Oryctolagus cuniculus: one gene and its partners. The protein of the gene in region 2 purifies or fractionates together with the protein of the main gene of each other region. This does not show direct contact. Links are inferred from orthologs where the notes say so. Each region holds a gene or a part of one and is shown on either strand. Other genes may lie near its edges. The genes, in order: KAT8, WDR5, SESN2, E2F6, PAXIP1, PDPK1 and NCOA6.

Region 1 (3,578 bases), on a different chromosome or scaffold from region 2:
TAGCACTTATTGGAGGTAAGTACTGCTTGGAGAAGCTTTTACTTCACCTAGAAGCACAACGTTTGCAGGAACGCGAGCGTGGCACCAGTCCTTACTGTGGATGGGACCGGAAGGGCCTCCCAGGGTCTAAGGCAGCAGTGTCCCACTGAACTTCCTGTCAGGAAAAAAACGTTCCGTGGCCATTCTGTCTCCTGGGCAGTGACCGCTGGCCACTGGCCACGTGTGGCTCTTGAACACTATTGAGAGTGGGAGTGAACTTTTTACACTGTAACGAATTTAAACAGCCGCAGGCGCTGGTGGCTCCTGGGTTGGACAGAGCTAATCAGGTGGAAGACGGTGAGTCCCTCACTAGCTGGCACTGAACACACACTGGACACCAAGCCAGATGAGAATGGGCCACTAGTGATAAAACCCCAGAATGGGTCGTAATGGGCAAGTTAACGATCAGCCAGGTTCTTCGGAGCCTAATTAATGTTTGACTCTTAAATAAATTACGGCATTTAAGAGGAGTGTTTCTGTAGTTCTTTATTGCCTTGGCCAAAGCCGCGTGTTTGCTGGCATCCGGGAAGTGTGTCTTAACGAGGGGTAAGGAGGAGGACTTTGTGTCGTGTTGGCAGTGGTCAGGCTGTGAATCGGACAGACCAGGGACGTGTGCCCACCTGTGCTGTGTACCAGGTCTGTGACCTTGGGCAAGTGCCCTGTCACGCTGTGCCACCGTTTCCTCTCCTGTACGGGGGGAGAGCCAACGGCGCTATCTCCAGGCTCATTGTGAAGACTCCAGCAGGATCTGTGGAGTGAAATAAATGGCAACTGGCTGGTGGCCAAGGGCGGGTGACCACACTGCTCCCTGTGTGTTCACCACTCTGTAAAATCAAAATAAGAATGCTTTAGCTCAGATCGCTGAGGGGATTAGCTGAGGGGCCCGTGTTGTGGTCTAACAGGTTAAGCTACTGCCTGTAATACCAGCATCCCATATGGGCACTGGCTTGAGTCCTGGCTGCTCCACTTCGCATCCAGCTCCCTGCTAACATGCCTGGGAAAGCAGTGGCGGATGCCTCAAGTCCTTGGGCCCCTGCACACATGTGGGCTCCTGGCTTGGGCCTGGTCCAGCTCTTGCTGTTGCAGCCATTTGGGGAGTGAACCAGCAGATGAAGATCTCTCTCTCTGTCTCTGTAGCTCTATCTTTCAAATAAATAAAATAAATCTTTTATTTAAAAAATGTTTTTTTAAAGGGTTAGTTGGGCCTGTTTAGGCAGAGCGCCTTGTGAAGGGGACTTCTGGGTCAACAGTGGTCCTTTCTCAACTAAATAGGCCCCAAGCCCCTCTGGTGCAGGTTGTGGGCCTTCAAGGGTGCCCCCCCCCATTGTCCAGCTGTCGGCGGCACCTTCTTCAAATTCTGGCCCAAGAACACCATGTGCTGTGTGACTGGACGTTTACTCCCCCGCACACTCAAGACTCGGACAATAAGGGAAGCAAGCTGCTGACCACCTTGCCCCTGGCTTGGGAAGGCCGCTGTTCTCCAGAGCGGGAGACGCCGGCCAGGCTTCCTGGAGCGGGTGGGGACGACGCTGGGCCTTGGAGGCCTGGAGCCAGCACAGTGGAAACAATTACAGCCTCCAGCTCACAAAGTCCAGCTCCGTCCTGGGACCCGCCTGCCTCGTGCTGTGTGCCAGTTGGAGGAAGCGTTGTCTGCTGGCCTAAGGAAAGGGCATTCGCAAGGGGAAGGCCCTGCACGTGCAGAAGCACAAAGGCCAGAGAGTGGGTGTTAATCACTGCGGGGCTTTGCGGGGCCTGAGCCTGGGGGTTGGGGCGCTAAGGAGGCCTGGTCAGTTGTCCAGACCGGACATGGTAGGAAAGACTAGAGGATTCCAGAGCGTGACTTCAGAGATGTCAGGGAGGTGAGTTGCCATCCGCTGGTTGAGATCTTGGCCATGCTAATGGAATGCCAGGCTGAGAGGGAGGAGTCGAGAGCAGGCTCAGTGGCTGGACTCGGGCAGCTGGGCCCAGGGCGAATGCCCAGGAGGAAGGTTTGCAGAGAGCAAAGGGGCTTTCTGCGCATCTTGAGTTATGACGCTGCTGTGGAAGGGGCCTCTGGGGATAGGCCCACCGGCAGGCAGCGGCAGGTGCCCAGCAGAGGTGCCCAGGCCCACGGGGCAGTCAGCCGTGGTCGCCCTTGCCTTGGGAGACGAGATCCATCCTATCATGTGGCAGTTTGGGCAGAGCTGGGTTGCCTCACTGTGCAGCGGAAGCTCTTAGCTCCCGATCCGCGCCTTGGTCAGCTGGCAGGATGTCCCAGCACGGGCATCAGGGGTGTCTGGGCAGACAGGCGAGGCGCTCAGACCAGCCAGCCACAGACCCAGGTCAGACGACTTCGCTCCGGGTCTGGTGTATGGATGTTCTGGAAGCCAGGAGGGAGGCACCGTGGACCCTGAGATTAAGGGGCAGCCTGACCACCTTCTGTTCAGCCCTGCGCACTTCTCTTCCCTGCAGACTTACGCAGAGATGGACCCCACAACGGCAGCCTTGGAGAAGGAGCATGAGGCGGTACGCAGGGTCAGGGGCCTGCCTGGGCATTCCCTCACCACTTCCTCCCTCACCCGTGCTAAGCCTTGTGCTGTCCTTCCCCACTCCCCACCGTCCCCCTCTGCCTGCAGATCACCAAGGTGAAGTATGTGGACAAGATCCACATCGGCAACTACGAAATTGACGCCTGGTACTTCTCACCGTTCCCGGAGGACTATGGGAAACAGCCCAAGCTCTGGCTCTGCGAGTACTGCCTCAAGTACATGAAGTATGAGAAGAGCTACCGCTTCCATCTGGTGAGCTGGGCCAGGCCGGGCCCTGGGGCTGGGGGCGGCTGGGAGCAGAGAGGGGTCTGCAGGAGTCAGGCGCCAGGAGCAGCTGAATTCCAGGCCTGGCTTTGCCTTTCTGTGGGGCTGACCTTGGCCAACTTACTGCCTCCCTCCGGACCTCAGTTCCCACGTCTGTAGAGGGGTGCAGTTAACTCTTGGGCCCTCGGCCCTTTGGCCCTTGACCGCTGTGTTTAGCAGCGCCAGGCTCCTGGGTGTGAAAGAGGAAGTGAACGTCCACCCCTAGCAGTGGGACGAAAGATGTGGACGGGGATCAGAAGGTGTGGAGGGCGGTGCATGGGAACTGCACTCTCACCACCAGCATGGTGAGGGGGGAGGGGAGGGTTGCCCAGAGCAGTGAATTTCCCTGGTTCAGGAAAGCCAGGGTCATGGATAAGTGCCCTCTGGAGACCCCTAGCCCGAGTATGCGCTCTGTGCGCCCAGGAGGTTCCGTCCTCTGCAGCTGTTAGGGAGGACTCCTCAGGCTGGGTGAAACACTGACCCTGGGGGCTATGGATGAGAAAAGGGGGAGACTTGCTCGGGGCCGCACGGTGGGGTGGTGAGGGTCGTCAGGCAGGGAGCCTCTGAGTCTCAAGCCTGTGTCCCCCACCCCACCCACCTCTCACTGCCAGGGCCAGTGTCAGTGGCGGCAGCCCCCAGGGAAGGAGATCTATCGCAAGAGCAACATCTCTGTGTACGAAGTGGACGGCAAAGACCACAAGGTGAGCT
Region 2 (3,578 bases):
CTGTCCTCGTCACACAGGAGCCCAGGAGGACGTCCATGTTCCACCCCCAGGCCCACCAGGCCCGCTGAGCACGGGCTGGCTTCCCGGCTCCCAGCACGCACCGGGGGCTACGCTGGTGTCTGGAAGCTGCCCCACACCGGGGGGCTTCTGATCCTTGAACACCAGAACCCGTCTCCTAGAGACGGCGCTCGTCCACGCCCGTGTGGCTGCGTCCCCCGGTCCGGCAGGGAACTCAGGCAGGGGCGCGGGCACGCGCTCGCCCGACTGCGCCGGCCTCCCGGTGCCTCTGCGCCCTCTGTGGCACCAGCGCGTGCCTGGGCCCGGCTGTCCCGCTGCAGGCAGCTCCCGACCCACGGCTTCTCCTCTCCTGATTCCGTCAACAACCCTCAACGCATGCCGGCCGGCCTCTGCTGTTTTCCTTGGAAACCTGGTCCCCGGGAGACGGTGGCCAGGGCAGGCCAGGGCCAGGTACGCACTTCCTGTAGGCCTGTCTGGTCAGCACCCAGGCCAGCACCACGGTGCAGCCGGCTCACGGAACGCGCCTCCAGGAGGGCTCGGCGCCCGGCCGGCTGCAGCTGGGACGGAGGCCTGGCAGGGCCCCTGGCCTGTCCGGCTCTGCGTGGGGCGGAGGCCGGGGGCAGCGAGGCAGAGCGCTGGGTGTCAGCGCCCCGCGGTCTCGGCTCCGCGTCCCCCACCTGCCCGCCAGGCCCACTTGTGGGAAGTTTCTCTCGGCTGTGCACCTGCCTCCCCTTGCGCTCAAGGGTGTCGCGAGAGCAACACAGGCGCGGGCGAGTTCATCAAAGCCCCAGCTCGCCAGCTCCGAGCAGGGCCCTCCCCCCAGGCTGTCTGCCCAGGGCCCCCTCTGCCCTTCCCTAGCCAGCACGTCCTCTCGACCGGGCTCATCAACCGAGCCAGCAGCGGCCCCCGTGGCCCACGCCAGCCCCCGTCACGGACCCGCTGGGCACCACTGAAGCATTGCTGCATTTTCCTGGACACACAGCGCCCACGCCCGGGCGTTACCCACTGGACACGCGGCAGAGCCCCGCCCCCAGGCCCCTCCTCTCACTGAGGGCTCGCCACAGCAGGGGCCCCAGACCGCAGCCCCACCGCCGCCCGCCCCAGCCTGTTCGGCGCCTCTGGGCCTCCGAAGCCGGCAGCCCCCGGCAGGAAAGCCGCTGGTAGCTCCAGGCCGCCGGCTCTGCCGCGCGGTCCGAGCTCGGAACAGCAGAGCCGAGCCCTGGTAAGGGACAGACGCCCACTCACCAGAGACCATCGTAGCTGCTGGAGACGATCAACGAGCCGTCACGGTTGAAGTGAACCTGAAAATGAAAGTGGGGTCGGCAGATGTACTTCCAGGTCATCACCAGGCCGCTTCCTGCCTGCACGGACGCACGACAGAGGCGGTGCACAGGCCCCGGGCCCGGCCAGCCGCAGGCGACACACACAAGGGGTCAAGCGGGCACAGCGACGGCTCCAGCTGCTGTCTCGGGCCCTGAGATCCCGGGGCAGTGATGGGGAGCGACAGGAAACACCCCGCCTGCCCGGCTGGGGTCAGCCCAACGAGGCAACGTGGGGCCGACGACCCGAGGCACGTGGGTCTCCCCGCACTCCGCGCCTGCACCTGCCTGCAGCCGTCCAGACGGCCAGACCACCGCCGAGCACAGGCCCCGCACAGTGGCAGAAGCGAGATCCAGGACCCTCTGGGCCAAGCCCCCCACTCGCCCTGGCTGCAGACCCCAGGAGCTGACCCACGCTGCTTCCCAACCCCCTCCTGTGGAACCCAAGGAGCGGGGGTCACCGCGACGGAGATAAGTGACGACCCCGGCTGCCTGCGGCTGTCATTCACGAGGTCAAGGGTCAGGGTCCGTCAGGGCTGGCCCAGGGCCCGCCTCTCTGCAAGGGGCACCTCTGGAACTGCCCTGGCCCAACCGTCGGGCCGGGCCTCAGCACCGGCTTCCCCGTGCAGCTGCCGACGCCAAGGACACTCTCCTGGCACTGCGGGGCCGTCCCGGGCAGCCGGAAACAGCTGCAGACCTGAGCAGGTCCCCAGCACAGGGCGGGGGCAGTCAGCGCGTGCCAGCCCACCCAAGGCCCCGCAGGGCACAGCCGGGGCCACCCCGGGTCCCCAGCGGCTGCGCAGGCGAAGGCCACGCAGGGCGACGCCGTGGTGGCGCTCCCTGACCCCGCGGAGCGCCAGCGTTCTCCTGGCTCCGCCCGGCCCCGTCTCCCAGACAACTCACTTCACGTGTCACCCCGACACGCCGCCCACACACCGTGCCGGGTCTCCCGTGGCTACGTCTCCGAAATCTCCAAGTCCGGTTTCCCAGACTGGGCCCCGCGGGGGCCGCCTGCTGGGGAGCCGGCCGGCGCAGCGGCACTGCCCGCGGCCCCGGCAGCAGCAGCCACCGCTCTCCCAGGCCGTGGACGCCACGCTCACCTCCCCCGATGCAGAGCGATTCTCTGCCGCGGGCCACTGCGCCGGCAGCCCCGAGCCCACCTAGGCCCGCCCCGAGCCCACCTAGGCCAGCCCCGAGCCCACCTAGGCCCGCCCCGCGGCCCAGAGCAGGTGCCCGGTGCCGAGCTCAGGTCCTCCGCACCCAGGGCCCCGGCTGCCTGGCCTCACCCTGGCCGTTGCGGACACACTGGGGATGAGGCCGTGTACGGAGGACCCGCCTCTCCCTTTCGCTCCTTCAAAGACACGGGAAATCAATCGGTAATAAAAAGCCTGCAGCCACAGCTGAGGACCGGGGGCTCCAGGGCTCCCCTCAAGCTCACTAACCCCGCCCGCCGGTCACTCCTTGCGTTCCTCCGCCCCAGCCGCTCAGCGCCACTCATGCCTGGAGGACAGCGCGGCGGGCAGGGTCCCGCACAGGCCCAGACGCCCCACAGACAAAACGCTGCAGCAGGCTCCGGCCAGGCCTGAGGCCGAGCCACCGCCCCACCCCCGCTCACGGAGCAGCCGCGGACACTGCACGCGGCTTCGCTCTCCCCGCGCGCCCCGCACCCCGGGATGGCGCCCGCACGCCTGCAGCTCGGACAACACGCACGGCTGGGACCAGCAACTCAGCGTCCACCGCGTGTCCACAGGCCCGGGCCATCCCGGCCACCTCCGACGAGCAAGGCTACCTCCACGCGGAACCCCCTTCCGAGGTCGGCTCCCCACGCGGCCCTGCTCCCCCGAGACTCAGGTCGGGGACGCTGCCCCCGGAAGCCCACGCCCGCAGTGGCCGCGTCCCGGGGGTGGGGGGGACTTACGGCTGACACGGGGTCCGAGTGCGCGGGCAGGGTCTTGAGGCACTTCCCCGTCTTCACGTCCCAAATCCTCACGCTCTCGTCAAACTAGGGCAGGCGGGACAGGACAGTGGCCCACGGCAGGAAGGCAGGGCCCCCTCCGCCACGCCGCGCCCCCACGCACCCCACCCCCACGCAGCGCAGCCCCGCCCCCGCCCCCGCCCCGCACTCACGGAGCTCCGCCCCGCCCCCACGCAGCCCCGCCCCCACGCAGCCCGCCCCGCCCCGCACTCACGGAGCTCCGCCCCGCCCCCGCGCAGCCCCGCCCCGCACTCACGGAGCCCCGC
Region 3 (3,578 bases), on a different chromosome or scaffold from region 2:
GCAGGACCAGGGCCTGGATGAGTTCAGCCAGGGACCAGCTGTGCTCGCCCGTCTTCAGCAAGGCCTGCAGGGGAGAGAAGGCCGGGCCTGCTCAGTGCCTGCCATGGGGCTGCTGGCCAGGCTCCAGCCAGGCCACGGCCAGGCCCCTGCGCTCCCTCGGGACCCCACCTCTCTGCCCACCACACCTGGATGTGCTCCTTGGTGATGAGCCACGGCCGATGTGCCAGGAGCTTATTGATCTCGCTGAGTTTGCGCAGCTTCTCAGGGGCCCGGTGGAGGCCCAGCAGCCACTCAGGGTCACCGCCAGTCTGCAGAAACTCGGTCATGTGGGAGCCCACAAGGTAGGAACACTGGTGGCGGGCGGCAGCCTGCAGGGGCGGACAGAGCCTGAGTCACCCTCCTCCTCTGGGCCTCGCTCAGGGTGAAGCCAGCACAGTACCCTGTTGCTTAAAAGGTGGGCAATCTAGATTCTAACCCCACATCTGCCACCAGCTTGGAGCTCACCTGACCTCCTTGCACCCCAAGTTTCTCAGTCTGGAAAGTCGGCATCTAAGATGCCTGTCTTCAAAGCCTCCAATTCTATGGCCACTCAGGGCTTTCCTGGGCTCTAAACCCCTTTCCTCCTCATCTGGGAAATCAGCTCAGGAGGCCCCACAAGGAGATCCACAGCCAGAGCCCCACCTGTGGCCAGTCCCACAAGCATCAGGCCCAGAGCGGCTCACCATGATGGCAATGTAGTGGCGCCAGGAGCTTGCCAGGGGCCCGTCCGTGTGTAGCAGCAGGTAGTGAAGGCGCCAAAAGCTGCTAAGGTAGTCAGGGTGCAGACTCATCACCACCGCCAGGTTGTCCACCCGCCCTGAAGACATCAATGCCTCCAGCCCCAGGTGCTGCTCCAGGCTCTCAGCTCCCTCCCGAAGCACCTGCCAAGGCAAGGGGAGGAGAGCATGGGTTCCCAGCTACAGAGACCAACACATACTGGGCAATGGGTGAATTACAGCAAGTAACTCAAAACCACCACCTTGTTCAAAAAGAGGGGGAGTGGGGCGGAAACACATTTCAGTAAATAAACACTTATCAGGCACTTCATATATATGATAATAGCCAATACTTGGGGCCCAAGCTATGGTGCAGCGGGTTAACGCCCTGGCCTAAAGCACTGGCATCCCATATGGGTATCGGTTCTAGTCCTGGCTGCTCCTCTTCCGATCCAGCTCTCTGCTATGTCCTGGGAAAGCAATGGAAGATGGGCCCCTGGGAGAGCAGGAAGAAGCTCCTGGCTCCTGGCTTTGGATCAGCACAGCTCCAGCCGTTGCAGCCAACTGGGGAGTGAACCAGAGGATGAAGACCTCTCTCTCTCTCCCTGCCTCTCCTCTCTCTATGTAACTCTGACTTTCAAATAAATAAATAAATCTTTTAAAAAATAGCCAATACTTATATAATGCTTACTAAATGCCATGCACTGTGCAAGCACTTTATATATATATTTTTTTTTTCATTTAATCATTATAAGTATGAAATTGGAGTTCTACTTTCTCCATTTTTAGATAGGAAAACTGAAACAGAGATTAAGAGTACAGTTTCTTGGCCGGAGCCGTGGCTCACTTGGCTAATCCTCTGCCTGCAGCGCTGGCTCCCCAGGTTCTAGTCCCGGTTGGGGCGCCGGGTACTAGTCCCAGTTGCCCCTCTTCCAGTCCAGCTCTCTGCTGTGGCCCGGGAGGGCAGCGGAGGATGGCCCAAGTGCTTGGGTCCCTGCACCCACGTGGGAGACCGGGAGGAAGTACCCGGCTCCCGGCTTCGGACTGGCGCAGCGCCAGCTGTAGCAGCCATTAGGGGAGTGAACCAACGGAAGGAAGACCTTTCTCTCTGTCTCTCTCTCACTGTCTATAACTCTACCTGTCAAAAAAAAAAAAGAGTATAGTTTCTCTGAGGTCAGTGTTGTGGAGCAGGGGTTAGGCTGTGGCCTATAACGCCGTATGTTCCAGGTCAGCCATGCTTCCGATCCAGCTCCCTGCCGATGCTCCCGGGAAAGCAGCGGAAGACGGCCCACGTGTTTGGAGCTCTGCCGTCCATGTGGGAGACCCAGATGAAGTTCCAGGTTCCGGCTTTGGCCTGGCGCAGCCTAGGCCATTGTGGCCATTTGGGGAGTGAATCAGTGGATGGAAGACTTATTTTTTTTTTTTATTTCTCTCTGTCATTCTGTCTTTCAAACAAATGAAAATAAATCTTTAAAAAAAAAAAAAAAGAAAAGAATACAGTTTCTTCTACCTTCAAGGAGATTCTGTTCTAACACGCAAATGCACATAACCACGGCAGTGGGTGCAAAACAGGTCACATTATCTGTTTTGTCCACGTCAGGTCTGATTTAAAAGTTTACCTGTATGATCTCATTGAATTTTTTTTGAAAGGGGTTAGTTTAAAAAAAAAAATATTTGAAAGACAGAGTTACAGAAAGAGAGAAAGAGAGATCTTGAGAGATCTTCCATCTGCTGGTTCATTCCCCAGATGGCCTCAATGGCTAGGGCTAGGCCAGACCGAGGCCAGGAGCCAGGAGCTTCCTCCAGGTTTCCTGCATGGGTGCAGGGGCCCAGGCAGTTGGGCCATCTTCCACTGGTTTCCCAGGTGCATTTGCAGGGAGCTGGATTGGAAGTGGAGCAGGCAGGACATGAACCGGCGCCCACATGGGATGTCAGTGGCACAGGTGGCGGCTTCACCTCTACTCCACAACAAAGGCCCCGGGGTCAATGATTTTATTTTTGTAAAATATTTATTTATTTATTTATTTGAGAGGCAGAGTGACAGAGAGAGAGCTGGACAAAGAGAGAGAGCTCCTCTCTGCTGGCTCACTCCCCAGTGCCTGCAAATAGCTGGAGCTGGGCCAGAAGGAAATGCAATCTACATCTCCAATGTGGGTGGCAGGAACCCAATTACTTGAGCCATCACCATTGCCTGTCAGGGTCTGCGTTAGCAGAAAGTTGGAGCTGGGACTGGAACCCAGGTACTCCAATGTGGGATGCAGACCTCTTAGCCATCCCTCATTGAATCTTTTCAATAATGCTTTGAGGTAAATACCATTATTTCTCCCTAACAGAGAGGAAACCAGACAGGTTTCACCCTCTTCTGTAGGCCGTAGTTCGCATAAATGACAGAAACAGGATTCAAATCCAGATGATTTCTAAATCCCATCTCTTTCCTTTATTATAAAGTAGAGTGGTTAGTTATAAATTAGAATATAAAACACAAAAACAATACTGGAGCTTAAAACCCTGGGCAGGGGGCCAGTGCTGTGACACAGTGTGTTAAGCCACTGCCTGTGACACTGGCAGCCCATATTACAACACTAGTTTGAGTAGGGGCTGCTCCACTTCCAATCCAGCTCCCTAATGTGCCTGGGAAAGAAATGGGTGGCCCACATGCCTGGCCCCTGTCACCCATGTGGGAGACCCAGATGGAGCTCCTGGCTCCTGGCCCAGCCTGGCCCAGCCCTTGCCATGCGGCCCTTTGGAGAGTGAACCAGCAGATGGAAGATCTCCATCTCTCTTGTCTCTCCTTCTGTCACTCTGCCTTTCAGATAAATAAAA
Region 4 (3,575 bases), on a different chromosome or scaffold from region 2:
CCCTGCAGATACACGTCTACTCCCGAGAGCCGTGCACAGGCCGCGTGCAGGACAGGAGGACACGGAGGGCAGGGTGCGGCCGGGATGCGGATCTGAGGCAGGGGAGGCTGGGGTCGGAGAAGAGCAAGGGCGCAGAGACGGTTTCCAGCACTAGACGGGGTGTGGCAGGGGCCAGCGAGGTGTGACAAGATCAGCCAGTGAGCCTGGGGCAGGCCTGCAGTGTCCGGTGTGTCAGGTGTGCGTCGCCATCCATGTCCCAGCTGCTCTGCTCCGATCCAGCTCCCTGCTAATGGCCTGGGAAGAGCAGCGGAAGACGGCCCCGATGTCTGGGGCCCTGCGCACACGTGGGAGACACAGACGAAGCTCCTGGCTTTGGCCTGGACTAGCCAGGCGGAGGGTGAACCAGCAGGCAAACGATCTCTGTCTCTCCCTCTCTGGAACTCTTGCTAAAAAACAAAACGAAGAGGTGTGGCCCTCAGCGGAGAGGAGACCCGGGAAACACGGGGCCTCTGAAAGCAAGGCGGGAGGGGCTTGGGATGGGCGGGAGTGAAAAGAAGAGGCAGAACACCAGCAGACGGGGTGGCAAGATGTTCATTTACAGAAGACACAAACACGCAGGGGACTGCTGCCCGCACGTTCCCGCGCGACCCCGGGACCACCAGAAGCAGGACTCCCGGCCTCGGCAGTGCCCCCCTGCTGTCTGGACACCCCCTTCCCCGGTTTTCCTCTCCTTATTCCTTCTTCTGTTCTTAAATGTCCGTGTATTCCTGGTTCTCTTCCCTTCTGCATTCTCTCGACGTGACCCCAGTGTAAACTCTCACACAGAACCTGAACTTGACATCTGTCCAACCCAATACATGGGGTGGGCACCGACTGACACACAAACTCCTTGCCCAAATCCTCATTTTCATTAAGCCTAAAACTCGTTCACCCTATACCCATTGTTCCTATACTATCAAAAAGAAAAAAAAATCCCCAGCTAGCCCAATGACGACGGACAGTGCCCTGTGCTTTTCTTTGGCTTGTTTTAACAACTTCTTGTGAAAGGGTGTGCGTGGATGCTGCGGTGCTGACCCCTGCGCCAGCAAAGCCCAGCACACACACCTGCCGCAGGCAGGCGTCACCAACCCTCACTCTGCCAGCTCAGACACGCAGGGGGCACTCTACAGGTCGGGGCGCTGCCCAGCGCTGGGACGGACGATGACGGTGACAAAGGCCCTCGGGGGCTCACAGTAGAGTGGCCAACGACTGAGCAAGCTGAGGCACGGGGGTGAGTGACTCGCCCCATGAGGTAGAAGAGCCAGGTGCTGGATGGGCGGGGCCAGGGCTGAGGGGGCGGGGCATCACTGCGCACGGAGTACAGAACAGTGCACAGAGCCGGTCTGCAGAACAGCTCGGCTTCCAACCTGCACCACGAGCCGCTGGGACACGGGCACTCTGCAGCAGCTGAGGTCAGCCGCTGTCTGTATCCAGCGTGAACCCTGGGCTCCATATTAAAACACTTTAATTAAACCCGAGGACTCAACCGTGGAGCACAGCCACGGCCCTTCCACACGCAGAAGCCGGGGAAAGCTCTCCTGTAACCCGCACCCAGAGGGGCCTAGCAAGTTAGAGCCCCGAGCTACGAGGGCGCCTGTCCGCCACTGCCCGCGTGCGCGTTATCTGGGCTGTACAGGGTGCGATGCGTCACCTGGACAGAGCTCGTGAGACTTCGCCGTTATACAGATCTGCAGAGACCAGTCAGATTCGCGAGCGCACGCACGAAGCGGTATAAGGCAACCTCTTCCTCCCTCGCGGGGAGGGCCGTGTCCCGGAGCTCCGCTGCCCGTGTGTCCCGAGTCTCGGGAGGCGAGCTGCCCACGTCACTGAGTCGCCGGATGCAGGAACCGAGATCACCCAGCAATCTGGGCAGTGGCCTGCGCAGCGCGGCCGATGCTGTGCTGAGCGCACGTCGGGGAGGATTTATTGCTCGGACGTGACGCAGTTAACCATCCGGGACGTTCGCGACGGCGCAGTCCGTGAACTCAAACACCCTCAGTTGTTCGTCTCAGGCAACGCTTCCCCTTGCTGGGGCGGATTTTCTTCTGAAAAGGCACACAGGAGAGCAGTCGCCTCAGTGAGGGTCTGAGAGGAGAAGGGGCTTCCTTTTTTTTTTTGACAGGCAGAATGGACAGTGAGAGAGAGAGACGAGAGACAGAGAGAAAGGTCTTCCTTTGCCGTTGGTTCACCCTCCAATGGCCACTGAGGCCGGCACACCGCGCTGATCCGATGGCAGGAGCCAGGTACTTCTCCTGGTCTCCCATGGGGTGCAGGGCCTAAGTACTTGGGCCATCCTCCACTGCACTCCCGGGCCACAGCAGAGAGCTGGCCTGGAAGAGGGGCAACCGGGACAGAATCCGGCGCCCGGACCGGGACTAGAACCCGGTGTGCCGGCGCCGCAAGGCGGAGGATTAGCCTAGTGAGTCGTGGCGCCAGCCGGGGCTTACTTTTTAACTCAGGTTTTTGCGGACAGGAAGAGGACAGGTACCTGAAGGTCACAGAGCGCACTCAAAGTCACACACACTGAAACCGCTGGGCTCCATCTTCCCAGCCACAAAGGGCGTGCGTTTACCTTGCTCGGGGCGCTCCGGACCCTTGCTTCTGGCAGCCTTCCTGCTCGGGGGGTCCTGCTGCACCTCACACAGGTACACGTCAATGGGCCCCTTGGTGCTCCTGATGTGCACCGTGACCGAGTCCTGGCGGGGACAAGGACAGCATCGGGAGTGCCTCGCTCACCAGATCCGTGCAAGTTTCCCGGGACCTTCCTGAAAACCTACATCAGAAGCAGCTCCCCTCCCACCGCGCAGGTTCTCAGCTGGTCACACCGTGAGCCACCGGTGCTCCCGCGGTGGAGCCGGCTGCTACCCAGGAGTACAGGCTCCGAGCCACCGCGTGCAGACGCCTCAGCACTCGAGAACCTCTCCCGCCTTGAGGAGCTGCCGCCTCCAGGACGGACCTGAGTTAAAACCCGCGATCTGACGACAAAGAACCGGAGAACCCCCCAGCCCTGCACGGTGGCGGTGGGGGGGGGGGGGCGAGTGTGGACTTCCAGACCGGGAGGCAGCACTGAGACGCCTCGGGGCCTTTCCTCTGTCCAGTCGAAAGAATCAGAGGAACAGAGCAAGTCAAAACAGACCACGCACAATTTCAGACGTGAAAAACACAAGGGGCCAACTGTACTGAGGACTAACACAAACCACCGGCTCACAGCGTGCGGCTTCAGCCGCGTTTACCCAGGATTCACTAGGACAGCTTCCCCACGAGCTAGGGCGCGTCCACGGGAAACCTCGCTGAGTCCACCAGGGACGGCTGTGCTCGCGAATCCTTTGCCTTCTCACGTGCAACTGCACAACAGGCGGCGTCTCTCCCCCTCTGGCGTCACTCGTCAGGCCCAGGCTGGCGTTCCACCCGGCTGTCCCTCCTGTTCCAAGCCTCTGTGAGCTGGGGGACACGCTGCATCTCGGGAGTCTCCGAACTCAGCCATCGTCCCTGCCACGGCTTCCCAGTGGCACATGGGCGGCCCGGGAAGATTGTGC
Region 5 (3,578 bases), on a different chromosome or scaffold from region 2:
TAAGCCACTGCCTGTGATGCCAATATCCCACATGGGTACCAGTTCGAGTCCCAGCTGCTCTACTTCCAAATCTCATAACATAGCATAGAGAAGATCTCTTGTCCTCCCTGTTCCATGGACTTTCATGGGCCCTACTGGGATCTCCCCCTCATCTCTGCAAGCCACACTGTGGGCCTTTGCCTGTGCTGTTTGCTCTGTCTGAAAAATCTCCCTAAGTCTTGCTCCTACTCATCCTTTAAGACTCAGTTCAAGAACCATCTCTTCCGAAAGACTTTTTTTCAACACATCCACACCGAACAGGCTCTCATAGCACCCTGTGCCACCTCTACCCAGCATCTACCAGACTGGTTCTTACTTATTATGCATGCCTCTGCTTCCCCTACTGGTCAGTGTAGTTAGTCTGTTTATTCAGTATACATTCCCTGCATCCTGTAGTAGGCTTGGTGCACACCAGAAATGCTCATGGTGAAGTACACCTGAGATGCACTTGAAACATACTTAAAGTCAGTTTTTGTTCAATTAAAAAAAAAAAAAAACACTCAGCTTTGATTTGTGACACAGCAAGAAAATGTTCATTTTATTTTTCTTTAGAAGCCACCATGTAAAATAATAAATAAACGGACTATGCAGCAGAAGATGGCCCAAACGCTTGGGCCCCTGCTCATGGCTCCTGGTTACAGATTGGCCCAGCCCCAGCTGTTGCAGCCATTTGGGGAGTGAATTAGCAGATGGAAGATCTCTCTTGTCTGTCTCTCTGCCTCTGCCTCTCTGTAACTCTGCCTTTCAAATAAATAAATGCACTACAGCACAACAGGAATAGAAGATTTGAGGTCCTTTTTAACTTAAAAGATCCTAGGTTTTCTAACACTTTGGAGAAAGAGAAATGATTAAGACACACACAGGTTTGTAGTCCTTTCCTTACATCAGTGAAAACCTTATCTGATTCCCACACCCCCAACCGTATATAAACAACCAATGTCCCTTAGAATTTTCGAGCTGAAAAAAATCTTAATAGTCTATCTTTCACCTATTTCAGCTGAGAAAACTGAAGTCTAGAAAAGTGATTTGCCCAGGGTCAAAGAGAAAGCTAGTAATAAAAATGCCCACAGCACGTTGAGAACACATGCAGATGTGTCAGTGAATACAGTCAAATGAACATGGCTAAGTCTACAATCATGAAGGAATATCTTCACTTAAAAAGTTCTACTTCTTGTAGGCAAAGCCTTACCCTTTTCCAGGTGGCCAGCAGCTGTTTGTCAGACATCTGCTCTGGATAATCCGCAATTGCAAACACACATCCCAGTAAGAAGCCTTCTTCCGGAACTACAACAGAACCAATAGAATCATACAAGAAAAAGAAAATTAAAATCCTATGAATATGCATGCACCTCCCATTTTTAAATGGCATTTGACAGAATTAAACTTGAATTTACCAACTTAATTGGTCTTGACAATGATGTTTCTGCCAGTAATCTGAGTACATTTTGGAATATTCATACAAACATACTAGTCTGATTATCTATATTAAGGAATCACTTAAAAGAAAAACCAACTTAATTTATGCCAGACAACTATTGAATTAGTCCGAGTGGCAGCCTGGGTGCTCTATGGAACAAAACTATCCATTTCAGTATATAGTGCCTCAAAAGAAAGTACAATTATCTCATTATAATGACTTCTTTGTTAGATATGAGAGTCACAGTCTCCATTTCGTAAGAACCATTTGATATGGATCCTTACCCCACACCCTCACACACTCTTAGTGCATTTATATAAGCATAAGACTTAAAGGAGAAAGAAAAAACAATCCCGGTTACTAACTCTCCACTGCTGGATCGTGTCCAAACAGCTGATGATGCTGTGGCGGCTGCGGCTGCGGCTGGGGCTGGGGCTGGGGCTGGGGCTGGGGCTGTTGAGGTGGCAGCTGATGCGGCAGCGCCTGGGACGTCTGACTCAAGTGTTGTGCTGTCTGATTCTGCATGTGCTGCTGCTGGTGCTGCTGGTGCAGGCGCTGTAGCTGCTGCTGCTGCAGCAGGCTATGCTGCTGCTGCTGCAGCTGTGCCAGCTGGTGCTGCTGCAGCTGCTGCAGCTGCAGGGCATGCGGCTGCTGAAACGGCTGTAGCTGCTGCTGAGGGCGATGCAGTTGCTGTGGAGGATGCAACTGTTGCTGTGGAAACTGTAGCTGTTGCTGTGGAAACTGATGCTGATGGACTTGCTGCGGCTGTGGCTGCTGCGAGAACTGGTGGGACTGCTGCTGGGCGTAGGGTTGCTGGGAAATCTGCTGCTGCTGCTGCTGCTGCTGCAGCTGCATCATTTGCTGGGGCTGCAGGTGTAAAATCGGCGGCTGCTGCTGCTGCGGCTGGGGCTGATGGTGCTGCTGAAGCATGTGTGTCTCTGGAGTGCCTTTCACCTGGCTGAACAACATGGCACTGGCATTGGCATGGCCCTGCTGGCTGTGATTCACCTGCTGCTCTAAGTGTTTTGTGGGCGCTGAGAGGGACTGTAAGATCTAGAAAACAAAAGGTAGGTGAAGTCATTATCAATAGGTACATGTACTAACAGTTTCCCTCCGGTGCTAATATTCAACATAACAGAAGCACCAAAGGATTAGAAACTTCATAATGACCACATTTTTCTTATATACCTTGTATCACCAACTTTAGTAAGACAAGCAAATAAATTCATATTTTGAGATCACCAAAATTTAAAACATGTATGTAAAACCGAGTAAGCTAATGAATTAAAGATGACAAACATAAAAACTCACACCTGCGGAGTTTTGAAGAGCAGTCATAAACATTTCCTTCTAGGGCCTTGGGAGCCCAAGCCCTGGTGCTCCCTGTGATATGCTGTAGTGTGCAGCATCTCCCATCACCCATCTCCCTTTCTCCAGCTCCACAGACTTTGTGCTGAGGGGAATGACAAGTGGTAGCCACATCTACCATTCCACCTCCTCCTACCTCACGGCCCAGAGTCCAAATGAAAGGAGAGAGACCCATGCAGTAATACCATGAGCAGCTCAGATATCAGCTAAGACCGGTAAGGCCACCCCTCCCTGCCTGGCCCCCGCTACCCCCAGGTAACCCTGCTCTCTGTAGTGGGCATGCTACATAAATGGACAGACAAGACTTCAAGAGGTTTGCTTAAAAGGCAACTAAGAAATCATTATTACAGCTGGGAAATTATCTTTCTATAAAAATGACTTCGAGTTCTTCAGATGGGACAAAAATATTTCACACCAAAGAAAATCATTCAAGCCAGACTATTTCCCTTCAAGTTCATTTGGCTTCACCAAGACAAGGAGCAGGCTGACAGTTCTGTGGGTGCAAGGGGCCACCCACAGAACCACAGAACAGGAGATGCCCATCGAACTGAGTATCAAGTTGCAAGTTATTTTTATTATATCCTACACAGCACAGAATAAAACAAACTATTCAGGCTACACAATCAATTTTGTTCAACATGTTCAAATGACAAAAATTTGAAATCAATTTCTTATGACCATGGAAACCAGCACAAATAGATTTCACTAAAAATCAATCAATACAATTTAACCCTATTAAAGCATAGTTAAATAA
Region 6 (4,277 bases), on a different chromosome or scaffold from region 2:
CCCACGACACACACCCAAGAGCAGAGCAGACCTCAGCCCCAGCTGGGGCATCAGCACTCACCCTGCCGCTCTCCACTCGCTTGCAGACTGCTGCCTCCCGGGTGTCACCGGGCGGGGTCACCCTGCTCCACACACACCAGCCACGGCAGGCGGCAGGCGGAGCGCAGCCAGAAAACCACAAGCCGCTTTTTCTGACGCTCTCTGCTTTCCCCAGCCTTTCCCGACAGACACAGCCAGCCTCGCAAAAGGCCCGCCGAACCCCCAATTCCACCCTTAACCCCACAGAGACATGTCCTTCTTCCAGAGGGACCCCAAGCCTCACCCAGACTATCAGCCCTCAGTGCAGAGCCGGAGCCGCTCTCCAAACAGCTGCTGACAGCAGGAGGCCGCTACAGGCCCCAGGGGTCACAGAGTTCAGCCATCTGCCCAGAGACACACGTGCGCTGTCCCTGCAGGCCAAGACACTCTCTCTGCCTCCATGGGGCTCCATTCCCGGGAAGACATCCTGGGTAGACGCACTGAGGACTCCTCACACCCCACACACAGAGCCGGGCTGAGCTGCCCACCCTCCCTCCCTCCCTGGCGGCCCTCACACTGGGGTCCCTGCCAAACCCCTCTGCACCTCAAGGCATCAGTGCAAGGGAGCAACACTGCCCACACCACCACAGGAGGTACCTGGCAAGGCACCTGCCCTCATCGGACTCTGGCCCACCTCGGACTCCCGGCAGGAGAGGCCAGAGCGCAGACTGCTCCCCCTGCTGGTTTCCCACTGGCAGAGGCATCTCCCACACGCCTGCAGTGCCACCCTGAAGTCTGCGTGCAGACCCCTTAGACCCATCAGGTGCCTCTGGGGCAGGCGGTCTGCGGCACCACTGACAGGAAACACGGCCTCCTCCACACGGGGCCACAGGGACTCCAGCTGCCAAAGCCGCGGGGCCTGCCACTCACTCCCTCCCCGGGAAGGCCACTTCTGCTCACGGGATGCCACGCTGCCTCGCATGAAGACACTGCATGTCAGAGTCCATCGTGTGGATGACAAGACCGCGAAACCCCGAGCTCCCTGTTCCACAGAGCCTCATACACACCCGGCGCTGCACAGACCGTGCGGAAGCTCACTCTGCCGGGCGCCGGGGTGCAGCCACACCCCCAACACGCGGACACCCCCACCCCGTTCTCAGCCTGCACAGACCGTGCCGGGGTGCAGCCACACCCCCAACACGCGGACACCCCCACCCCGTTCTCAGCCTGCACAGACCGTGCCGGGGTGCAGCCACACCCCCAACACGCGGACACCCCCACCCCGTTCTCAGCCTGCACAGACCGTGCGGAAGCTCACTCTGCCGAGTGCCAGGGTGCAGCCACACCCCCAACACGCGGACACCCCCACCCCTTTCTAGCCTGCACAGACCGTGCGGAAGCTCACTCTGCCGGGCCCCGGGGTGCAGCCACGCCCCCAACACGCGGACACCCCCACCCCGTTCTCAGCCTGCACAGACCGTGCCGGGGTGCAGCCACACCCCCAACACGCGGACACCCCCACCCCTTTCTAGCCTGCACAGACCGTGCGGAAGCTCACTCTGCCGGGCGCCGGGGTGCAGCCACACCCCCAACACGCGGACACCCCCACCCCGTTCTCAGCCTGCAGGTTTCGGTTTAATGATCACCAAGGAGCAGCTGCGGAAGGTCCAAGGGCCTCCTGACACAGTCGCAGAATCCAGTGCAGCCGCGCGCTTTCTCAGCCACGGGCTCCCACCTCGGCCACGCCAAGGGGCCCTGCCAGGCCCCGGCCCCCCGGGACTGCGACTGCAGCCGCGACGGCCTAGCCTGGCAGACGAGCGTCCAGCTGCGCCCCGGGCCTGCCTTCATGCCCAGGACTTCCTCTGCAAGTGACGTCCGACCATCACCACCGCACACAGGGCTAAATCGCCACGCACGTCCCAAGACCTCAGAGCACATCCAGACACCAGGAACGCGGGGAAAACAGAGACGCTCGACAAACAAGTGGCCTGCTCCGCTCTGCTGCCCCGGGGTCCCCTCTACCTGTCAGGCTCACTTCCCCTCGGCGATGCTTCGAGGCCCGCCTCCCAGCAGCTCCCCCCCGCACGGAACACGGCCACCGGCCGCAAAAGCATCCAAATGCCTCCCGCAGGGCCGCGAAAGCAGGGGCGACCAGACCCTCCGCACTCCCCGCCCCGGGTCGAGAATTCGCTGGCGGGGCCGCGAGCATCAGGTGCCCGGCCCAAGAACGAGCCCCCTTCTGCAGGCGGAGGCGCTGGGAAGCCGTTCCAGGCGGAGGCCTAGGGCGGCTCCTCGGGAGACCGAGCGGAAAGGTGGCCCCAGAGGCTCGCTCCAGGCTGCGCCGACTCGAAAACAAACTTTCCAGGCACTTCCACCCCGCCCGGCCAGGTGACACCTCCAGGCCTCCCCCGCCCTCCGCGCCTGTCAGCGCCCCCGGCCGGGCCGGCGTCCGCCGCCGCCAGGGCCAGGGCTGCCCGCGGCGGCCGAGGAGAGAGCCCGGCTGGAACCGACCGCCCCGGCCCGGCCGGCCGTCGCAGTGAAGGCGCCGCCCGGCCCTCGGGACCCCGGGCCGCCCCGCCTCGCCGGTCCCGGGAGGCCGCCGCGCTCCGCGGTGTAACGGGCCGGAGCGCCCCGCCCGCCGCGGCGCACTCACCAAGTGGCTGGTGGTCCTGGCCATGGGCCCCCGTCGGCGCGGGAGCCTCCTCCGCCCCGCTGCGCTACTCGGCGCCTCCTCGCCGTCCTCTTCCCCGCGGCGGAGCCCCAGCAATGGCCGCCCTCATCCTGCGCCCGCCCCGCCGCCCGCCGCCCCCGGCACCGCCCCGCCCCCGCGCGACGCCGGGCAGGACTTCCGCCGCGCCGCCGCCGCCGCCCACGCCCATTGGCTGAGCCGGTCGTCGCTCCGCGGCTCCCGGGCGGACCCCGCCCCGACCCCCGGAGCCGCATTTCCGGGTTAGGGCTCGACTGACGGGAGCGGCCCTGCCCCGCTAGGGAAGGGCGACGCCGCGCCAGCCAATCCTGGAGCTAGCGGGGCGGGGCATGGCTAGCTGTCATCCCCAGCTCCCAGACGGGGAAACTGAGGCCCGGGGGCTCGGGCCCAGAGTCAGGCCCCAGGCGGCAGCGGGGCTGGGCTGCAGCCTGCTCCGGCACTGGTTTCCCAGGTGCTAAGCGTTTGCGGAAGGGAACAGGCCCGCGTCGCCCGGGCACCCCGGGGCCACCCTCCGAACACCCACGCCTGAGCGTGTCCTGGGCTGCTCTGCTCGCTGCAGGCGCTCATGCGGGGCAGGAGGGGTTTTTACGGGGGCAGGTACACACGAAGCTGACCATGTGACCCCGTCAGGTGCACAGTTCGGCTACAGTAAGTACCTTCACGCTGGCGCGCCACGATCCCACCTTCCTCTTTTTACTGAAGGTTCGCTGTGTGGGTGTGTGCGTTTCTTAAAAAAAAAAAAAAAAATTTACTTATTTATTTGAAACAGAGAGGGAGATCTCCCTTCCATCCCCTGGCTCTCTCCCACATGGCCACACCGCCTGGAGCCAAGCCAGGCCAAAGCCAGCAGCCAGGAGCTCCATCCGGGTCTCCCCTGTGGGTGCAGGGACTCAAGCACCAGGACATCTTCTGCTGCCTCCCCAGGCCATAGCGGGGAGCAGGAGCAGAAGAGGAGCAGCTGGGATACAAACTAACGCCCGTATGGGATGCGGGCGGCACAGGCGGTGGCTTTGCCGCTATGCCACAGCACCGGCCACATGCAGTCAGAGAGGGAGACAGAGACAGAGAGATCTTCCTGGGCTGACCCAAATGGCTGCAGTGACCAAGCTTGGGCCAGACCAAACGCAGGACCCAGCAGCTTCATCTGGGTCCCACACAGGTGGCAGGGGCCCAAGCACTCGGGCCCAGGCCCTTTAGCAGGAAGCTGGAGCTGAAGTGGAGCAGCCAGGACTTGAACCAGTGTTCGTATGGGATGCCAGCCACGGGCAGGGGCTTAACACACCCCTGGTTTGCATATTTGTAAATAACCCTTTTTTTTTTTTTTTTTTTTTGACAGGCAGAGTGGACAGTGAGAGAGAGAGACAGAGAGAAAGGTCTTCCTTTTTGCCGTTGGTTCACCCTCCAATGGCTGCCACGGCCGGCGCGCTGCGCTGATCCGAAGCCAGGAGCCAGGTGCTTCTCCTGGTCCCCATGCGGGTGCAGGGCCCAAGCACTTGGGCCATCCTCCACTGCCTTCCCGGGCCACAGCAGAGAGCTGGCCTGGAAGAGGGGT
Region 7 (4,322 bases), on a different chromosome or scaffold from region 2:
GGTTTACTTTATTTGTTTGAACAGCAGAATGACAAAGAGGGAAGCACAGGCAGTAAGAGAGGTCTTCCATTGTCTGGCTCACTTCCCAAATGGTAGCAGTGGCCAGGGTTGGGCCAGCCTGAAGGCAGGAACCTAGAACTCTGCCTGGGTCTCCCATGTAGGTGGCAGAGGCTGAAGAACTTGGGCCATCCTGCACTACTTTCCCAGTTACATTAGCAGGGAGCTGAACTGGAAGCAGAGCAGCCAGGACTTGAACCAGCAGTGCGATAGCGGATGCCGATGTTGCAGGTAGTGGCTTAATCTTCTGTGCCACCACACCAGCCCCCAGATCTAATTCATTAATGTGCTGATAAAGAAGTATGTATACACATACACCCACCTCCTCACATACTTGCTTGTATTAGTTTATCATAATTTATATATTTTGATAATTGCATTTCAAATAATTGGTTTTCTCTGTAATCTAATATACTTTATACAAATAAAAATATTTTTTCTGAGAGGTTTAATAAACCTCGCCAAATAGTAAAAGGTCCCACGGCACACATAAGGTCAGGCCTCCTGCCTTAGAAAAATCTAGAAAAAACGGATTGTGTTGTACATACATACAGCATTGAAAATCCTATGTTATGAATGCCTTCATCACCTCTTTGTTGAAAGTCCTTTTTGATTACATGGTTGTCCCTTAGTTTCAGTGAAAGACGGTCTCCCTCCCCCAATACCAAAATTCAAGGCTAATTCAAGTCTCTTATAAAATGGCATAGTATCTGCATATAACCTACACATGTCCTCTCCTATATTTTAAATTGTCTCTATGTTATTTATAGTACCTAATACAATGTAAATGCTATGTACATATAGTTACACTGTACCATCTGGGGAAGCATGACCAAAAAAATAGCCTGTGCATGTTCAGTACTGATACAATGTATCTTCCTAAATATTTTCAATTGGTGGTTGTTGAATCCACAAGTGTGGACCCACAGGAATGGAGCACCCACTGGATATCATGACTGAAACACAAGGTTTCCTTCAGAAGTCTCCTCACAGTTCATGTAAACTTTGAACTCTTGCCTACGGTGATGGACCATCAATTACAGTTTGAACATGAGATTCTGGATCGCTATCCTTGTTCATTGTTGTTTCTTAGTTTTTTGTGTTCCTTTGCTGTACAGTAAACAGGAAGAAGAGAAGGTTCACCTACTAAAATGGAAGAAAATGAGAGGATTTTGAAGATAACTTCTTTGCACAAATGGAGGTGAGCGCTGATATATCAAATAGCTGGTTAGTTATTCTTTTTGGAAGCCCCCTCAGACTTTGTACAAACTCCTTACAAAAATAAAACAAATGCTTAACAGTTCCATGATATATGCTTAACACTATTCTTCCAGCAAGCAAATTCCCTCAAGACAATGAGCGAATGAGGAGGAAGCACAACCACGTCCAGGAGCCCCTCTGCCACTGAACTCCTAAGATCTCAGGGAAGCCAAAGCCACGACAAGATCTGAAAAGTATCCCATGAGCTCGGAGGCCGTTGTAGCTTTTACATATTTACTCTTCTGTACCATTCTTACTGGCTCAATTAAGACCTTTTTGATGACCTCCCCAGGTGACCCTGCTCTTAAGCAGTGGGCTGTCCCCTTCCTGTGAAGACACCTTGGGTCACCACCTCCAAACAGCCTGGTCCCTCCTTTTAAAGATACACACAACTCCATAAGTTGATGGAGGTTCTCTCCCTTCTTGCCAAGCAGTTCCACTCTCTGCACCCCCTTCTGCTGGCCAGCTCCTGCCCTCAAACCACAGCCCTCCTTTTCTCTCCCCATCAACTCTTCCGTTTTTATGATGCTCCCCTCAAAATGAGGTGAAGGCTCCGTGGGACACAAAAGTCCTTAATCCCTTAAGAGTTACAGGGGCTTGCAATTCTGTCCCCAAGATCCCAGGACTGCCCCAATTTGATACATTCATCTGTAGCAAAAAGGCCCCCATTTCTAATCAATCACCTCCTCTCCTCCCCTCCCCTCCCCTCCCCTCCCTGCAAAGACCAGCTCCAGCCCTGACAGCCTGAGCTGGGCCCCCACACCGCCTACCTGCCCTGGGGGTCTGAACACCGCCACGGCCTAACACGGCTCCACGTCCTGCCATCCCCCCAGCCCAGGGACCTCCGACCCCGGTTCCGTTCGGATCCAGTGTCCCTTCTTCGCGATCCTAGCCTCGACCCCAAGTCCGGCCCCTGCCAGTTCCCTGGGCCTGGAGCGCCACCCCGTGCAGACCCCGGCCAGCCCTGCACTCCCTCGACGCCCCGAACCCCACGTCCCGCACCCTCCCCAGCCTCGGCCGGGCCGCCGCTCCCTCCAGCGCCCCCGCCCGCAGGCCCGGGGCCCGCTCCCCAACATGGCGACGGGGACACGAGCGCGGCGGGCGGGCGGGGCGGCTCCGGGCCGGGCCCGCACTCGGGCCGTGCCGCACGACCGCCCGGCGCCATTTTCCCGCGCCGGGCCCGGGCAGCACCTCCTCCCCGCGAAGCCAGCCAGGCCGAGACCGCGGACGCCGGGCGGGCGGGCCCACCCCTTACGGGCCCGCGTCGCCGTCGCCTCACCTGAGCGCGGCCCCGGCCCTCCCGGGCGGGCCTCGGAGCGCCGGCCCGGGCCGTGCGTGCCCGCCGCCCTCCGTGCGTCCGTCCGTCCGTCCTCTCGTGCGCCCGTCTGTCCTGCCGTCGGCGCCCGGCCGCCCGCAGCCCGACCCGGCAGGGCCTCAGGGAGCCGGCGGGGAGGGGGATGGGCCGGACCGGGCCAGGGAGGGAGGGGGAGGGAGGGAGAGAGGGAGGGAGCGCGGGAGGGGGCGGGGCGGGCCCGAGGGGGCGGGGCCCTGCACACGTGACCAAACGTCCCCGGGAGCGCGTGGAGCGCGCACCCGCTCAATTGGGTGCCCGGGGCTTAAAATCTGGATCCCGCGGGTCCGCGTCTGCTTCCGGTAGTCGCTTCGCTTGTGGCTCCCACCTTGGAAGCGCTGCGCAGCTCCTTGCCGCGCTCTGGCTGAGTGTCCTGGGACATGGCAACTCTCCGAGCCTCAGTTTACCCAACTGAAATCTGGAGATAATAATAATGCTTGCAAAGCGGAGATGAAGCGCTTGGCACGGTGCTTGGCATTAACTGAGAAAGAGAACGGTCGTTACCGTTACTTGCCTGTGAGTTTCGACCCTGTGCCGTCACCACCATCTCGCCAGCAAGCTCAGTGGACAGAATTCCTGAGTGAATGAGTGCCACCCTCCCCTCCCCCAGGTGTAGCCAGGCATCCCCGTGGCACAGAGGCCTCCTGGACTTTCTCTGCCTCTCTGGACCTCGCCTTCCTCATCTGTAATGTGGAAGTTGGGGGTCTGTGCATCAGGGAAGACTGGAGACTGAGCAAGTGGGCTGTGAACTGTGGGAGCTGCTCAGTCATGGGGTCCCATCTAACAAAAGGGACTGGGGAACCCTTTCATTCCACAGACGGGTCTTGAGCACCCACTGGGCGTTTGCACTAATGCAGTAGCCACCAAATGGCCTCACACCCATCCTGGCCCACTTCCAGCCTATCACCCACTTTGTTGTCGAAGCTTCTACCTCAGAAATCTGGCCGTGTCACTCCCCTACTTAAAACTGTTGATGGTTCCACATTGCTCTAAGGGTAAACGAGTACCTGTTTTCTACCCCGCATTTCCATTCTTGTCTCAGGGCTCCCTTCTGCTCTTTGGGTTGCCACTCCAGTGACCTGTTTGGCACATTGCACTCCCTTCTCGGGACCCTTGCACACTCCACGCTCTCCCCAGGTAGATAGCTAACTCATCAGCCTTCGATCCTGGCTCAAACATGGCTACTCCAAGGCAGCCTTCACTGACCGCTCCCCAGACAAGTTCTCTTATGCCATGCACTTGTCCTTAATTAGAATGCAGTAGGTTACTACGCCTGTGCCAGTTCACTGTGGTCTACATGAAAGGGGAGCCCCGTCTGTTTTGTTTCCTCAGCACTCAGCACGGTGCCTGGCACTGAGTAGGTGCTCAGTGAGTATTCCATGTGTGTGTGTGGACCCTAGGTGCCCTGCTAGGGACTACACCCAAGAGAGCAGATACCCAAAGAGAACCACAGGCAGCCACAAGAGGGCACTTTAGACTTTTGGGTCTACAAAATTAACCAGATGGATTTAGAAAGAACCTGGGGCCTGGAAAAAAAAAATTTTGATAGTTTTTTCTTCTTTTAACTTTCAAAAACTGAGGTATAATCTGTATACAGTAAAATGCAAAAATCTTAAGTCCATATCTACTAAATGTTTTACCAATGATCCCATAT

What was found.
Region 1: the proteins of WDR5 (region 2) and KAT8 purify together in Homo sapiens (affinity purification with mass spectrometry; 5 studies listed by BioGRID and IntAct, with this or other methods). This does not show direct contact. The link is inferred for Oryctolagus cuniculus from reciprocal best matches to the Homo sapiens genes WDR5 and KAT8.
Region 3: the proteins of WDR5 (region 2) and SESN2 purify together in Homo sapiens (affinity purification with mass spectrometry; 3 studies listed by BioGRID and IntAct, counting the BioPlex papers as one, with this or other methods). This does not show direct contact. The link is inferred for Oryctolagus cuniculus from reciprocal best matches to the Homo sapiens genes WDR5 and SESN2.
Region 4: the proteins of WDR5 (region 2) and E2F6 purify together in Homo sapiens (affinity purification with mass spectrometry; 4 studies listed by BioGRID and IntAct, counting the BioPlex papers as one, with this or other methods). This does not show direct contact. The link is inferred for Oryctolagus cuniculus from reciprocal best matches to the Homo sapiens genes WDR5 and E2F6.
Region 5: the proteins of WDR5 (region 2) and PAXIP1 purify together in Homo sapiens (affinity purification with mass spectrometry; 7 studies listed by BioGRID and IntAct, counting the BioPlex papers as one, with this or other methods). This does not show direct contact. The link is inferred for Oryctolagus cuniculus from reciprocal best matches to the Homo sapiens genes WDR5 and PAXIP1.
Region 6: the proteins of WDR5 (region 2) and PDPK1 purify together in Homo sapiens (affinity purification with mass spectrometry; 4 studies listed by BioGRID and IntAct, counting the BioPlex papers as one, with this or other methods). This does not show direct contact. The link is inferred for Oryctolagus cuniculus from reciprocal best matches to the Homo sapiens genes WDR5 and PDPK1.
Region 7: the proteins of WDR5 (region 2) and NCOA6 purify together in Homo sapiens (co-immunoprecipitation; 10 studies listed by BioGRID and IntAct, counting the BioPlex papers as one, with this or other methods). This does not show direct contact. The link is inferred for Oryctolagus cuniculus from reciprocal best matches to the Homo sapiens genes WDR5 and NCOA6.

Annotation. Positions count from the first base shown.
Region 1 is NC_091450.1:6,063,346-6,066,923, reverse strand, and holds part of KAT8 (histone acetyltransferase KAT8), read left to right. Parts: intron 1-2,490; coding exon 2,491-2,544; intron 2,545-2,654; coding exon 2,655-2,819; intron 2,820-3,481; coding exon 3,482-3,571; intron 3,572-3,578.
Region 2 is NC_091432.1:235,834,289-235,837,866, reverse strand, and holds part of WDR5 (WD repeat-containing protein 5), read right to left. Parts: intron 3,340-3,578; coding exon 3,256-3,339; intron 1,320-3,255; coding exon 1,264-1,319; intron 1-1,263.
Region 3 is NC_091438.1:143,412,735-143,416,312, forward strand, and holds part of SESN2 (sestrin-2), read right to left. Parts: intron 921-3,578; coding exon 723-920; intron 369-722; coding exon 186-368; intron 65-185; coding exon 1-64. UniProt on the Homo sapiens protein: Functions as an intracellular leucine sensor that negatively regulates the mTORC1 signaling pathway through the GATOR complex. In absence of leucine, binds the GATOR subcomplex GATOR2 and prevents mTORC1 signaling.
Region 4 is NC_091433.1:191,257,139-191,260,713, reverse strand, and holds the end of E2F6 (transcription factor E2F6), read right to left. Parts: intron 2,736-3,575; coding exon 2,612-2,735; intron 2,085-2,611; coding exon 2,035-2,084; 3' UTR 574-2,034; downstream 1-573. UniProt on the Homo sapiens protein: Inhibitor of E2F-dependent transcription. Binds DNA cooperatively with DP proteins through the E2 recognition site, 5'-TTTC[CG]CGC-3'. Has a preference for the 5'-TTTCCCGC-3' E2F recognition site.
Region 5 is NC_091438.1:18,780,694-18,784,271, reverse strand, and holds part of PAXIP1 (PAX-interacting protein 1), read right to left. Parts: intron 2,510-3,578; coding exon 1,822-2,509; intron 1,324-1,821; coding exon 1,229-1,323; intron 1-1,228.
Region 6 is NC_091450.1:32,774,740-32,779,016, forward strand, and holds the start of PDPK1 (3-phosphoinositide-dependent protein kinase 1), read right to left. Parts: upstream 2,841-4,277; 5' UTR 2,696-2,840; coding exon 2,672-2,695; intron 1-2,671. UniProt on the Homo sapiens protein: Serine/threonine kinase which acts as a master kinase, phosphorylating and activating a subgroup of the AGC family of protein kinases.
Region 7 is NC_091442.1:23,283,829-23,288,150, reverse strand, and holds the start of NCOA6 (nuclear receptor coactivator 6), read right to left. Parts: upstream 2,824-4,322; 5' UTR 2,597-2,823; intron 1,568-2,596; exon of another isoform or gene 1,392-1,567; intron 1,259-1,391; exon of another isoform or gene 1,176-1,258; intron 1-1,175. UniProt on the Homo sapiens protein: Nuclear receptor coactivator that directly binds nuclear receptors and stimulates the transcriptional activities in a hormone-dependent fashion. Coactivates expression in an agonist- and AF2-dependent manner.